Anolis sagrei: one gene and its partner. The protein of the gene in region 1 interacts with the protein of each later gene in a biochemical or structural test. Links are inferred from orthologs where the notes say so. Each region holds a gene or a part of one and is shown on either strand. Other genes may lie near its edges.

Region 1 (6,855 bases):
CATGTTACGCACACAAAGTTCAGAAAGGACCCTCACCCCAAATATGGCCTGTTTCCCCACCACTACCATCCCATTCTCTGCTAGCTCACCCACCCACCCACTCACCCACAGAGAGGCTGTTCGCATATGTATATATAGAAAGATTAAAGGCTTGGTGTACTATTTAGTTAATTGGATTTTGCCGGAGATCTTATCAGAGGCTGGGAACTGAACACCCAGCTGGAAAGGAGGGGAGTTTACTTGGTGCAACTCCTCTCCTCTGTGTTTCCTTCCCCAGATTTGGATCAAATTCATACAAAAATCAATCTATGGAAACATAAACAACTCCTCCCTCCAATGCAAGTCCTCTAATTGTTACCTAGATCAAACTAAACAGACCGTGGGACTGTTTGTCCACCACTGGGGAGTTGGGGGAAGGGACAACATATAAGAGAAAGCAATGGCATACTTGCACTGAGCAGAGACAATATTAGAAGTTTGCACTGTTACAGACCCAGCTGAGAGTATTTTCAATATGGGCCAATGGCAAGGGAGAATTGCTGATAAATAAGGAGGGAGTATCCACCCACATAAACTTGAGCTGGACACCAAAGCATTGTGGAAAAAGTCCTTTCACCTACATATAAAAATATAAGTCACTCTTGTTTGTGGATTTTGCTATTTGGCACCATTCCCTTCACCGACCACTCGAAACACAACCAACAGAATTGGAAATATTCCTTAATACTAACAGATTAAAAGGGAATCCAAAGGTAAAAATTCTCATAGAGAATCTGAAAGCATTTGGGAGGAAGGGGAAAGGAAAGCCATGTGTCTCAACAGGGCATGGTTCTCTCCAAAGCAAAAATAAGAAAAGGACCCAACATGCAGCGCGCACCCCAATACGCATACAACCACAATACAAAAGCACCATTTTATAGCCCCAGCTCTCGATCCCAACCCTCCAATGCAAATCACAACAGGGTAGGCTTTGGGTCTCCCTAAACCAAAGATGACAGATCCCATCCTGCCAACCTCCACCCCACTCAATTACAGGGCAGCTCCTAATCTTTCTTAATAAGGTCACCTCAAAAGCTGGCAAGAGGGGAGAGAGGGCAACGAGGGTGTCACCCCAGCTGGGCCGGGCCCAGGAGGGGGATCGCATTATACGTACAGTGATTGGAACTGTTCCAATGCTGGTTACGGACAGGGGTGCTGTAAGGGTTAGGGTTTCCGGGTCCTTTGTCCTGGATCAAGCAGGCACGGTTCTGGTTGTAAAAATCCATCATGAAGAAGGGGTTAGGACTGTTGCTTAAACCAGCTACATCCACACTTTCGTACATCTTCTCCAGGCAGAACAAGAGGATAAGAAGGTTGGGGGCTTGTGGAGGGTGGAGGGGGATGGGAAGGAGGGAATCAAAGCAAAAGTTTGGTTTCTGAAGGATCGGAGAGCAGAATCCTATACTGGCGACGACGACGAATCCCAAAGAGACAAGGGGGAGGCTTTTTGTCGGTTGTTTTCTGTTTCCTGATCCTTCTCCCCCTCTCCGCCGCCTCTTGATCCCTAGCGGGGAAGTATTTAGGGAATCCAAACGCGGCTGGGGAATCCGCCAAACAGGCCGGGTTGGCCACCAGTGTCTTTGCTTCGAGTTAAAACACACAAAAAAACAAAACAAAAACAAAACCCAAAAGATAATATTCAAGTCTTCAATCTTCTATTCCAGACGCGTCCCTTGGGAAATAGGCCGGCCAATCCAAGCTGAGATGCTGTTTCCCGTTTCGAGACAAAATGTATTTATAAATCCCAAAAAAAGAAAAGAAAAGAAAAAGAAGAGGAATGTTTTACTTTGAGAAAAAAATAATAATAACAAAATCCACTCCGCCTTCCCAAAAACCAGAAGGAGACTCACTGGTGTTAGATAGCATTTTGGTCACATTTCCGCCTCCTGTTCAGTCCCATGGTTCTCTCTCCTTCTCCCAAACTAACAAGAGGAAAGAAAGGAAAGGGAGGGGAAGGAATATCCTTTCGCTTCAGTTTTAAAAAAAGGGGGGAGAAAAAGTTTCACACACACTCATACAAAAAAAAAAGAAGAAGTAAGGCTTCCTGGTAGAAATAAAAGAGCTTTTTCCTGTCCAGCAGATGACTGAATGTAATGCACCGAAAACTGTGCTCATGGGTTATGTACACACATATCTTAAAATTGCATCTCTGTCCCCTGCCAGAGAAAGAGAGGGAGGGAAAGGCGGAGGGGAGGGGAGGAGAGAAAGAGAAGAGATGAATGGTACAAATGTGTTGTCAGGTTTTGAATGCTTGAGAAGATGCCAAGGCCTGGAACCCCCCCTGAATCTCCTTGGTTGCAGATTTCTTTTGGTCCTTCCTTCCTTCTCTCCCTGGGAAAGAGAGGGAAAGAGAGAATGTGTGGGTGCGTGCACGCCTCTGTGTGTGTGTGTGATGTACAGGACTGATAGATTAAAGGCAGCACAAAATCTTTCCTGACACGAAAAGTCGGCTCTGGACTGGCTTAACTCTTTCCTTACCTGCCACGTGCTGTGTCTTGCGCAGCCCCAACCAACTGCAGGGAAGCACAGGATGGGGGAGGAGGAAGAGGAGGAGGAGAGAAAGAGAGAGGAATGAATGAATGAAAGAAAGAAAAGGGGAGGAGGGACGGAGGAAGGGGGGGAAAAATGACAGCCATGGAAAAAAATGCCTCTCCAACAGCTGTCTCCAGCTACAAAGCTGCAGCGCCTGCATCTTCCTCGGGTGCTTTCCCCATCGCTGGAGCGGAGCAGCAGTGGCGGCTTCCTCGGCGAGGAGGACAAGCAGGAGGGCCCCCTCTTTTTTGTATGGCAAGGAACCGGCCCGGGCGGCCCCTTTCTTCGCCTGCATCACCCCTCTCAGAAAGGGAGGTCTCTGCTGCTCCTCTAGCCGCCCCTCATTTGCGTAATGTTATGCAGCTGAACTCCGCCTGAACTCTCCTTGCAAAAAAGCTTCACCTCCAAATGACCCACTCACAGGCCTTCTCCTTCCCTGTGACATCACAGGGGCGCCCTCCTCCTCCTCCTCTTTGCCTGCCAAGGGCTGCCACCGGCATGCCGCTGCTGCTGCTTCGGCCAAACATCACCACACGGTCGAATCCAGACCCACCAGCCAAGGGAGATACCTGGTTATAGGGACCATGGTGCAGAGGCCAGTAAGGAAAGAGGGAGACAAAACCTGCTTAGATATGTTTATAACAAAAAAAAGTGGGATGTAGCCGGGCAACTGACATCTGTACACACGTAGACACACACCTCTGTCTAAGGATGGGGATTTGGATCCAAGATGAGTCAATGTACCTACAAACTCACTAAGGCCGAGTAAGCCGCACCGAGTCCCTCCGGGGAGAGACGGTGGGTTATAAAGATTATTTATTTCTGGTATTTCTACCCTCGTCTCTTCTCTAACCACGAAGGGAGGACTCAGGACGGTATACATTTAGTAAGACACATACCTCTGTCTAAGGATGAGGATTTTGATCCAAGATGAGTCAATGTACCTACAAGCTCACTAAGGCCGAGGTTTTACTAAGGCCGAGTAAGCCGCACCGAGACCCTCTGGGGAGAGACGGTGGGGTATAAATAAATTTATTTATTTCTGGTATTTCTACCCCGTCTCTTCTCTAACCCCGAAGGGGGGACTCAGGATGGCTTACATTTAGTAAGACATACACCTCCGTCTAAGGATGGGGATTTGGATCCAAGATGAGTCGATGTACCTACAAGCTCACTAAGGCCGAGGTTTTACTAAGGCCGAGTAAGCCGCACCGCGTCCCTCCGGGGAGAGACGGTGGGGTATAAATAAATTTATTTATTTCTGGTATTTCTACCCAGTCTCTTCTCTAACCCCGAAGGGGGGGACTCAGGACGGTTTACATTTAGTAAGACACACACCTCTGTCTAAGAATGGGGATTTGGATCCAAGTATGCTGGGGAAAGTGGAACGCAAATGGAAGAGGGGCCGACCAAGGGCAAGATGGATGGATGGCATCCTTGAAGTGACTGGACTGACCTTGAAGGAGCTGGGGGTGGTGACGGCCGACAGGGAGCTCTGGCATGGACTGGTCCATGAGGTCACGAAGAGTCGGAGACGACTGAACGAATGAACAACAAATTTATTTATTTATGGTATTTCTACCCCATCTCTTCTCTAACCCCGAAGGGGGGACTCAGGACGGCTTACATTTAGTAAGACACACATCTCTGTCTAAGGATGGGGATTTGGATCCAAGATGAGTCAATGTATCTACAAACTCACTATGGCTGAGGTTTTACTAAGGCCAAGTAAGCCGCACCGAGTCCCTCTGGGGAGAGACGGTGAGGTATAAATAAATTTATTTATTTCTGGTATTTCTTCCCCGTCTCTTCTCTAACCCCAAAGGGAGGACTCAGGACGGCTTACATTTAGTAAGACACACACCTCTGTCTAAGGATGGGGATTTGGATCCAAGATGAGTCAATGTACCTACAAGATCACTAAGGTCGAGGTTTTACTAAGGCCGAGTAAGCCGCACCGAGTCCCTCCGGGGAGAGACGGTGGGGTATAAATTTATTTATTTCTGGTATTTCTACCCCGTCTCTTCTCCAACCCCAAAGGGGGGACTCAGGACGGCTTACATTTAGTAAGACACACACCTCTGTCTAAGGATGGGGATTTGGATACAAGATGAGTCAATGTATCTACAAGCTCACTAACGCCGAGTAAGCCACACCAAGTCCCTCCGGGGAGAGACTGTGGGGTATAAATAAAGATTATTTATTTAGTTATTTCTGGTATTTCTACCCCGTCTCTTCTCTAATCCCGAAGGAGGACTCAGGACGGCTTACATTTAGTAATGATACAATGTCGCTATATAACAATTACAATAATATAACCAAAATTAAATACATACGCAATCATTAAAACCAGTACATACAACATTAATTAAAACAGTAGAGCAATATGATAGTATCAATTCCAGTCAATGTCCAACTAAAGTGCTCATTATGTCTGCTGCCCAAAAACCTGTCCACAAAACCATGATTTTAATTTTTTCCTGAAAGCCAGGAGGGATGGAGTCGATCTTCTATCGTTTTGGGAATACGTTCCATAGGCGGGGAGCCACCGCCGAGAAGGCCCTGTCTCTCATTCCTGCCAAATGCATTTGCGAAGTAGACGGAAGCGAGAGCAGGGCCTCCCCGGATGATCTTAGGTTACAGGATGGGACGTAGGGGCTCAATACAGGATGCATCCGGTGGCATAGTGGGTTAAAACTCTAAGCTGCTGAACTTGCTGACTGAAAGGTCGGCGGCTCAAATCTGGAGAGCAGGATGAGCACTCGCTGTTAGCCCCAGTTTCTGCCAACCTACCAGTTTAGAAGCATGCAAATGTGAGTAGATCAATAGGTAGCGCTTCAGTGGGAAGGTAATGGCGCTCCATGCAGTTATGCCAGCCACATAGCCTTGGAGGCATCTACAGACATTTCTAAGCTCTTCAGCTTAGAAATTGAGATGAGCACCCCACCACCACCACCACCCCCCGCAGAGTTGGACACAACTAGACTTAATATGAAGGAAAAATCTTTATTTTTTTATTGATATAAATGGATTATATCCCAATATGATAAAGACACACCTACATATCGTGACTCAGTTTGGAAAGCCCTGCACTAAGGGCTGGAGAAATTAGACAGGAAACACACGTTTTTTGATCCATGAAATCTTCTCAACATCAAAACTGGATCAAAGCATAGGTACGCCATCAAGCAAAAGAAGAAATGCAGAAGCAACTGACTCAATGCCTTTTCAGTTAATCTAGACTCCACATTTGCGAGTTTGACTTTTGTAGATATGATTCAAATGTTCTCTCTAGGAATCCCGAGATCCTCCAGGGAATGATTCTATGGTCAGCTTCCAACAGAAATTGACCACAGAGTTATGCTGGAGAACCTTGAAATTCCTAGAGAGGTGTTCTCTCAGTTTTAAAAATAGTATTTTTTTATTCACGGGTTTTTTTCATGGGATCCTGTGCCCTTACTGCCAGTGAATGTGGACAGCTGACTGTAGCAGGTTGGTCCATTTGTCTATCTAGATCACTCATGCTTTCCTTAATAGACAATGGCATTTCAGGGTTACAGAAAGGGTCACATGAAGTCCTATCTGGAGATGCCAAGGACTGAACACTGGCTCTTCTGCAGGCACAGAATGGATCCTGAAAGCTATAGGCCTCTTCTATCAGGAACATGGACCAAAAATATTGTGTGACAACAATGAGTGAGAACTGAACTATGTCTATTTTGCTAAGGTTGGCAGTTTGAATCCACGAGACGGGGTGAGCTCCTGTCTGTCAGCCCCAGCTTCCCACGCTTGGACATGAGAGAAGCCTCCCACAGGATGGTAACACATCTAGGTGTCCCTTGGGCAACATCCTTGCAGAAGGCCAATTCTCTCACACCAGAAGTGACTTGCAGTATATTCTCAAGTTGCTTCTGACACGATTAAAAAAAACTATTTTGTACAAGGATCGAATTTAATACTGTAGTCAGTATCCCAAGGTTCTCTGATGTCACACCCGTCCCATTTTTAGAAGCATAAATGAAAGAAAACAATTATATTTACTCCACAAACTTGGTAAAACAAATTGTGAAAGTACGTGGAATGGTTGGTAAAGGCAGAACGGGGCCTGTGTGAAACACGAAGAGACAGGAGATGTGTTTCATGCATCCTTTTGCTCCTCTCTCATGACTAGCCAAACCAAAAGAAATTAGACAAAGTAAGAAATTAAAATCATGTGTTTTATTTAAACCCTTTATAAATAGGGCCGCTTTTGAATTCATGGTGGAGAGTGCCCCACCGCTGTGT
Region 2 (7,372 bases), on another chromosome or scaffold:
CAGTAGAAGGAAATAATACACCCTTAAATATATTTTGAACTCTGGCGTCCAGCATGGTCAATAGTAGATTATGGCAACTTTGATTAAAAATATTAGGAGTGCTAAAAGTTTCTCATCTCTGATTTAGATAACAGAAAAATACTTTTTTCTGAACCAGAATCCAGTCCTCACTTTGAACAAACAGAATCAAGTTGAAGAAAGACATGTGGCAGTATTCCACTGCCTTTCTCTGCTCTGTTTTTTGTTTTTTGTTTTTTTACTACTGCTTACATGAGTTTACAGTCCACACTACAATCAAGTACTAGATGATCAAGTTGAAGAAAGCCTCCAAATACTGAACTTCAACAACCAGCTTTACCTCATTAATGGATAACAGAAATTAAGATGCATTAGGTGGAAGTAATTGTCCCCCAATAGCATGGTGTGCTGACCAGGATTAAATCTCCATTCATATCAGAAACAGTAATTTCAGAGAGAGTAATAATTGTCTACCTCACCAGACTGTAAATCAGGTTTGGAAACTTCTGGCTGGCGGTGGTAAGGTTCTTCCAAAACTCCTTTCTTTCTCATAACAATATATATGCAATATAACATGTTGCTAATGACAACATAAACAAGATGATGGAAACACTTCTCCTACATACCTATTAGGAGCATCATTTTTGGGAATACGAGGCACATCAATGGGGTCATCTTGGAATTCATACTCTTGAATTTTGGGCTGTATGTTCTTGGATTTGGGCCGGCCAGGGCCCTGTCCTGTGCTGTGGCCTCCTTTCCCTTCTAGTTTCTGCTTTTTGGGTTTCCCGTGTTTGATAGGTGTGCCCACTTCATGCTCCTTGCCTAGCTTCAGAAATCGCCTGTCCCCTTTCTTGTCTTGCCAGTCTGTCAGGATCTGAACAAAACAAAAATCAACACCACAATAACTTTGTTAACTAGATCCCAGTAAAGCTTCAGTCTGTCAGGATCTGAACAAAACAAAAATCAACACCACAATAACTTTGTTAACTAGATCCCAATAAGGGGGCTCACTCTGTGAAAACTGTGTGCTGATCAGCTGTGTACCGACCTCCACACATTAAAAAAACTAATGCACAGGCATATTCCAAGAAAATAAAAACAAAACAAGAGGCACAAATGGAGGGCAAAAGGGAGAAATGTGCCAAGAGGAAGGCGCATAAAACCAACCTTGACCGGGACCATTTTCCACTTCGAAACTTATGTCCTCACTGTGGGAGAACATGTGAATCAAGAATAGGGCTCCATAGCCACCTATGGACCCACCGCCAAGAGGACCATCATCCTCGACCTACGAGGGATCCCCTAAGTAAGTAAGTATTATATTGTGAGTCGCTTAGGGTCCCATTAGGGAGAAAAGCAGGATATATAACTGGATGTTTCAGTGTGTTTTTGATTAGGCAGTCCACCAGTAATCTTCCCTGTCCCTACCTTAAGTTCAGCATTTTACACCGGCCCTTTAGCGCCCTACCTCAACACTTTTGATGACACTATTCCCAGCCCTGTCTACTTGATTGTTGATCTACTTTCCTTGCGCTCCCTTCAGTTTGTACTCCACTCATGGAGCCTGAACTGCAGCTATGTCTAGCTATGTTCTTTCTTAGCCATATTATTTTGATGTTGTTTACGATTGTGATTGTTTTATATTCTATCTGGTGCTTTTAATTGGTTGTGTTTTATTTGTAATTGTTGGACTTGTCCCTTGTAAGCTGCCCCAAGTCTCCATGGGGAGATGGTTGGTGGGGTATAAAAATAAAGTTATTATTATTATATTATGTAAACATTTCTCAGGAGCCCCCGGTGGCGCAGTGGGTTAAAGCACTGAGCTGCTGAGCTTGTTGATCAAAAGGTTGCAGGTTTGATTCCGCTGTCAGCCCTAACTTCTGCCAACCTAGCAGTTCGAAAACATGCAAATGTGATTAGATCAATAGGTACCGCTCCGGCGGGAAGGTAACGGCACTCCATGCAGTCATGCCGGCCACATGACCTTGGAGGTGTCTACAGACAACGCTGGCTCTTTGGCTTAGAAATGGAGATGAGCACCACACCCCAGAGTCAGACATGACTGGACTTAATGTCAGGGGACTACCTTTACCTTTACCTAAACATTTCTCAAGACAGGAAGGTGCTGCAGATGGAAAAAGTCTAAGAAGCCCTGCTCTGAACCATTCCAAGTCGTCGCCTAACCTGTGTCTCTGTCTCCAACACACGAAGTCGGCGGCTAGCAGAAGACAGCAGCGTTTCCAGCTCCAGCTGCAGGGTGTCGAGTTCTTCGATGCCAATCCCATCATCTTCCGAACGGGCCAAGACAGCAGTGTAGCGGGGACATACTTTGAGGTGGTCCACGGACTTAAAATCGTGGAACTGAAGGGGGCAGTCTTTGAGCTCAGACATGCTGCTGGTGGCGGTGTTGATGGTCCTGCAAAATGAAAAGCAACACAAGTGCAACAGAGGCAGGTGCAACCAGAGAGAGAGAAAGGAAGAGCAAATAAATGTGACAGCTAGAAATAAAGTGGGGTCGGCGAGGAATTGGCCCAGGCAGTTGTCATGGGAAGAGACACTAACAGTGACAGCTATTCAGTGAAGAAACAGCTTTGCGGGCATAATTAAAAAGACAAGAAGGAGTAGCTAGAAGCAAAGGCTCAGAAGGAGAAGAATGGGAGCCATGGCTTTGAGGGAAAGGGTTAAGAGGGCCAAAATGATGAGGGGTATGCAAGGGCCTGCTTCTGCAGAACTGACCAGAGCAGGCATTCAAATGGAAACACAGAATGGAGGGGGAGAAGCGAGGCTGCCTGTTTAAGGCCGGTGAAGAAGATGAATGGGGAGAGGGAAGAGGCCAGGAGGTGGCGCTGGAAGGAAAGGGGGAGAATGCTGTGGGCGGCTTCCGGTCCCAGGGTCTACTTCCGGGGCACAGGAGGACAGGACAGCTTGGGGAGGGGGAGGAGGGAGGGCTATCTACACGAATGAGCTCTACCGCATTAGACTACTTCCTCCTCCTCCGCTTCCTCCTCGCTCCCCACTTCCGGTTCCCCTTGCCGCCTTTTCATTGGCCCGTCGCTGCGCTTATTGCCCCGCCTCCGAGGGCTTAGAACCAATCTCTGTGGCCGGTTTTTTCCCCTCCTCCCGCCTCTCCCTATTGGCTGCTCCTTTTAGCCCCGCCCACGCTCGCTCTTGTTTCCAAATATGGAATCCGGCTGTCGCTTGGGTTGTACCAATTTAGGAAAAAGGGAGGTGGTGGGTTGGAAAGGAACCAGGAGGGAACTCAGTAGCCGCTGTCCTACTTTAGAGGGAATATCTACCTCGGTTTTTATGTCTCCTTAAAACGATATCGCGGCTTATTTCAACAACGGGAGAGAATTAAAAGGCCCTAAGGGCGGGATTTCAAATACAGATACCCCCCCTCTCAGAGCGATTGTGGTTCAGTCCGGATATTCCGGAAGCGGGGGAAAATCTGGTCTTGGCGGGGGTCGCTTCCGCTTCCGTACTAGGGACCAAGCTTCGGGGCTGCTGCCGCTGCTGCTGCTTCTGTCGCCTTTGCTGCCATGGTGAGTCAGTGAGCGGGAGGGCCTCGGTGGGTGGATGGAGGGCGGAGGAGGGAAGAGCTCGAGGCGGGCGAGGCGGAAGGCGAGGCCAGAAAGAAGGAGGGAAGGCCTGTCAATGGGCGAAGAAGAAGGTCCCAGAGAGAGGCCCTTGGCCACATTTCTCGCAGGATTCCTTACAGAAAAATAGTAATGTCATAATATAGTAAAAGGTAAAGGTTGTCCCCTGACATTAAGTCCAGTCATGTCTGACTCTGGGGTGTGGTGCTCATCTCCATTTCTAAGCCGAAGAGCCAGCGTTGTCCATAGGCACCTCCAAGGTCATGTGGTCAGCATGACTACATGGAGAGCCATTACTTTCCTGCAGAAGTGGTACCTATTGATCTACTCACATTTGCATGTATTCGAACTGCTAGGTTGGCAGAAGCTAGGGCTGACAGCGGAAGCTCACGCCACTCCCTGGAATCGAACCTGCGACCTTTTGGTCCACAAGCTCAGCATAATATAGTAGTGCTAATAATAATATTAATATTTTTGTTGTGTCAGGAACGACCTGAGAAACTGCAAGTCGCTTCTGGTGTGAAAGAATTGGCCGTCTGCAAGGACGTTGCCCAGGGGATGATTTGATGTTTCTACCATCCTTGTGGGAGGCTTCTCTCATGTCCCCGCATGAGGAGCTGGAGCTGATAGAGGGAGCTCATCCACTTCTCCCCGGATTCAAATCTGCAACCTGTCGGTCTTCACCCACTGCGCCACCGGGGGCTCCATAATACTAATACTAATAATAATAATATAGGCTTAAAGGGTTGGGAAGTGTTCAACTTGTGATTTCTTGATACGAAATCCAGCATATAGATCTCATTTGCAATAATTATTATTATGTACTGTACTTATACCCTGCCCTTCTCACCCCAAAGAAGAGGACTCAGGGCAGTTTGCAAACTATGGCAACAATTCAATGCCAGATTCAGATAACAACAATATCAATAGAACACAGTATTATAAAACTATAAGAAACACAAATATATAAATTAAAATAGTCTTTCAGATGATTAAAATATATTAAAACATTTCAAACATATCAAAATTACATTGCATTGAAGCACAATTACAGGTCTTACAGTCCAGGAGCCTCCGTTGGCGCAGTGGGTTAAAGCCCTCTGCCAGCAGGACTGAAGACCAACAGGTCGCAGGTTCGAATCCAGGGAGAGGCGGATGAGCTCCCTCTATGAGCTCCAGCTCCTCATGCGGGAACATGAGAGAAGCCTCCCACAAGGATGATAAAAACATCAAATCATCCGGGCATCCCCTGGGCAACGTCCTTGCAGACGGCCAATTCTCTCACACCAGGAGTCACACCTGACACGACAAAAACAAACAGCCAAAACCCTGTTAAATAACAGCTAATAATAAGAATAATAATAAAACTTTATTTATACCTCACCACCATCTCCCCAAGGGACTCGGAGCGGCTTACATGAGGCCAAGCTCAACAGTACATCAATAAAGAAAAGCAATAAGCAAAACCAGTAAATACAATACAATTAATATAAATCACACATAAACAATAACCAATAAACTGTAACACAAGGATTAAAAAACCTATGGCCGGGCCAAATGTAATAGTTTAAAATTTAAAAATAAACGCTGGGCATGAACAAGGTAGGACATAACTAGTATAGGGTTTTCAAAGAGAGGGAATGCAGTCAATCCTAACCAGTAGTAAAGTGCATTCTGAGGGCATGTTGCTTAAGAATTTTCCTTATAATAATAATAATGGTAATGGTAATAATAATATTAATAATATAATCGGCGCTGACAAAATTGCCATCTGCCAGCTGCAGAAGGCCACCTTATTGGGATCTGCACGCATTATTCACTGATACATCACACAGTCATAAACACTTGGGAAGTGTCCGACGTGTGATCCAATACAACAGCAAGCAGAGTGATCTTGACTGCTGTGGACTCGTCTTGTTGTGTTTCAAATAATAATATCGTAGTGTTAGTCATATAATAGTTTGATTAACTAACCTCAGGGGATACCAGCCACAGAAGCAGGCGAAACGTTGGGAGAGATTGCTACAGCAACATGGTCATACAACCCGGAAAACTCTCAGCAACCCAGTGGATCTGTAATTGATTAAGTGACCGAACCCAAAGGGTGCTCACTAATGGTTCCACTTCATCCTGGAAAGAAGTGACTTGGAGTGGCGCAGGGATCTGTCCTGGGCCCAGTACTGTACAATATCTTTATTACACGTAATGACTTGGATGAAGGGTTAGATCAGGTATAGGCAAACTTCGGCCCTCCAGGTGTTTTGGACTTTGATTCCCACAATTCCTAATAGCCACAGTTCCTATCAGTTGAAGTCCAAAACGCCTCGAGGGCCCAGGTTTGCCCATGCCTGGTCTAGACAATTGTAGTGGACAAGTCAGCCTGCAAAAGCGGAGTCTGCATATCCATGGATCAATGTGATAATATTAATAATGAATTTTATTTCTTAACCGCCCCTCCTTGAGTCTAGGGGACAATATAATTAAAATACATAAAAACATAAACCATTAAAATACATACTCTAAAGCCATGTATAAGTCTAGAAATTTTAGTAAACCCAAAGCCTGAGTTGACATATCCACAAGTGAGCGTGATAACAACAGCCATAACGACAACAACAACATATTTTATCTCATGCCTGCCTCTGCTCAACACCAGAAAACAACATAATTTAAAAAATGTAATAATTAAAACATATTTCTTATATGCTCATTAATATCTCTAAACCAGGCATGGAAAACTTTGGCTGTTAGGAATTGTGGAAGCTAAAGTCCAAAACACCTGGAGGGCCCAAGTTTGTCCATGCTTGGTCTAGACAGTTGAATTGTTCTTAATATTAATGATACAATTGTCTAGACAGTTGTAGTAGAGAATCTGCAAAATAACAAAATAATGGATTTTATTTCTTAACCACCTTTCCTCAAGGTCAGGGTATAATAAAATAAAATTAAAATACATACTCTATATGGATTTCAAAGTCTAGAATTTTTTTTTGTTAAAAAATCAGCTCCCAAAACCTATTGTTGACTTTTCCATAGGTCAAAGCAAGTACTGTATTTTAACACTGATCAAAAAAGGAACCTTTCAATAAAGAGGGAAAGGGCAAGAGCTTAGCTTATTCTGGGTGAACCTTAAAAAAGCATAGACACCTTCTACTGGCCTGCTGTGATGCTGCTTTTTGAATACCTGGGTGGGAGAATGGCAGCCAGAGGTGACTGACTCCTCGAGGCAGCATTGGTGTTCTCTCCTCTCAGCAGAATTACCCTCAACTTACCCCTGGGTCATATAAGAATAAATAATGTTGGCCTCAAAACCTGCCTGCAATTTACATACAATTTACATACAATGAGTGTATGTTGTATATTAAAAAATACAAACATGTGCTGGAGAACAGTGTAGGCTGGTAAAAGGGAACAATGTTAGCTAATAGGTTGATTGGACTGGGAGAATGTGGGCTGTTTTTAAGGTGTGTCGTCATGGAGACCTAAAGAGGAACTTGCAGCGTCTGATGCCTTTGCCTTTCCTTCTTTGCAGACCGCCACCCTCCGTCCCTATCTCAATGCCGTGCGTGCTACCCTGCAGGCTGCTATGTGCCTGGAGAACTTCTCATCCCAAGTGGTGGAGCGGCACAACAAGCCTGAGGTGGAAGTCAGGTGAGGAGAAGGAGGAGAATGTGCAAGCTTTTATTTCTTGGGGAGAGGGTATTGTTGTCACCTTCTCTTCCCCCCCCCCCCCCCCCCGAAAGGAATTAGCTACA

The links.
Region 2: the proteins of RARA (region 1) and TADA3 form a complex in vitro, tested with the Homo sapiens proteins (2 studies listed by BioGRID). The link is inferred for Anolis sagrei from reciprocal best matches to the Homo sapiens genes RARA and TADA3.

What each region holds. Positions count from the first base shown.
Region 1 is NC_090026.1:39,867,873-39,874,727, forward strand, and holds the start of RARA (retinoic acid receptor alpha), read right to left. Parts: upstream 3,007-6,855; 5' UTR 2,867-3,006; coding exon 2,518-2,866; intron 2,512-2,517; exon of another isoform or gene 1,323-2,511; coding exon of another isoform or gene 1,154-1,322; intron 1-1,153. UniProt on the Homo sapiens protein: Receptor for retinoic acid. Retinoic acid receptors bind as heterodimers to their target response elements in response to their ligands, all-trans or 9-cis retinoic acid, and regulate gene expression in various biological processes.
Region 2 is NC_090022.1:27,113,022-27,120,393, forward strand, and holds the start of TADA3 (transcriptional adapter 3), read right to left. Parts: upstream 3,011-7,372; 5' UTR 2,998-3,010; coding exon 2,993-2,997; intron 2,438-2,992; coding exon 2,206-2,437; intron 896-2,205; coding exon 645-895; intron 1-644. Other genes in the region: tubulin tyrosine ligase 3-like, read left to right, coding at 3,561-3,563, 7,150-7,268. UniProt on the Homo sapiens protein: Functions as a component of the PCAF complex. The PCAF complex is capable of efficiently acetylating histones in a nucleosomal context. The PCAF complex could be considered as the human version of the yeast SAGA complex.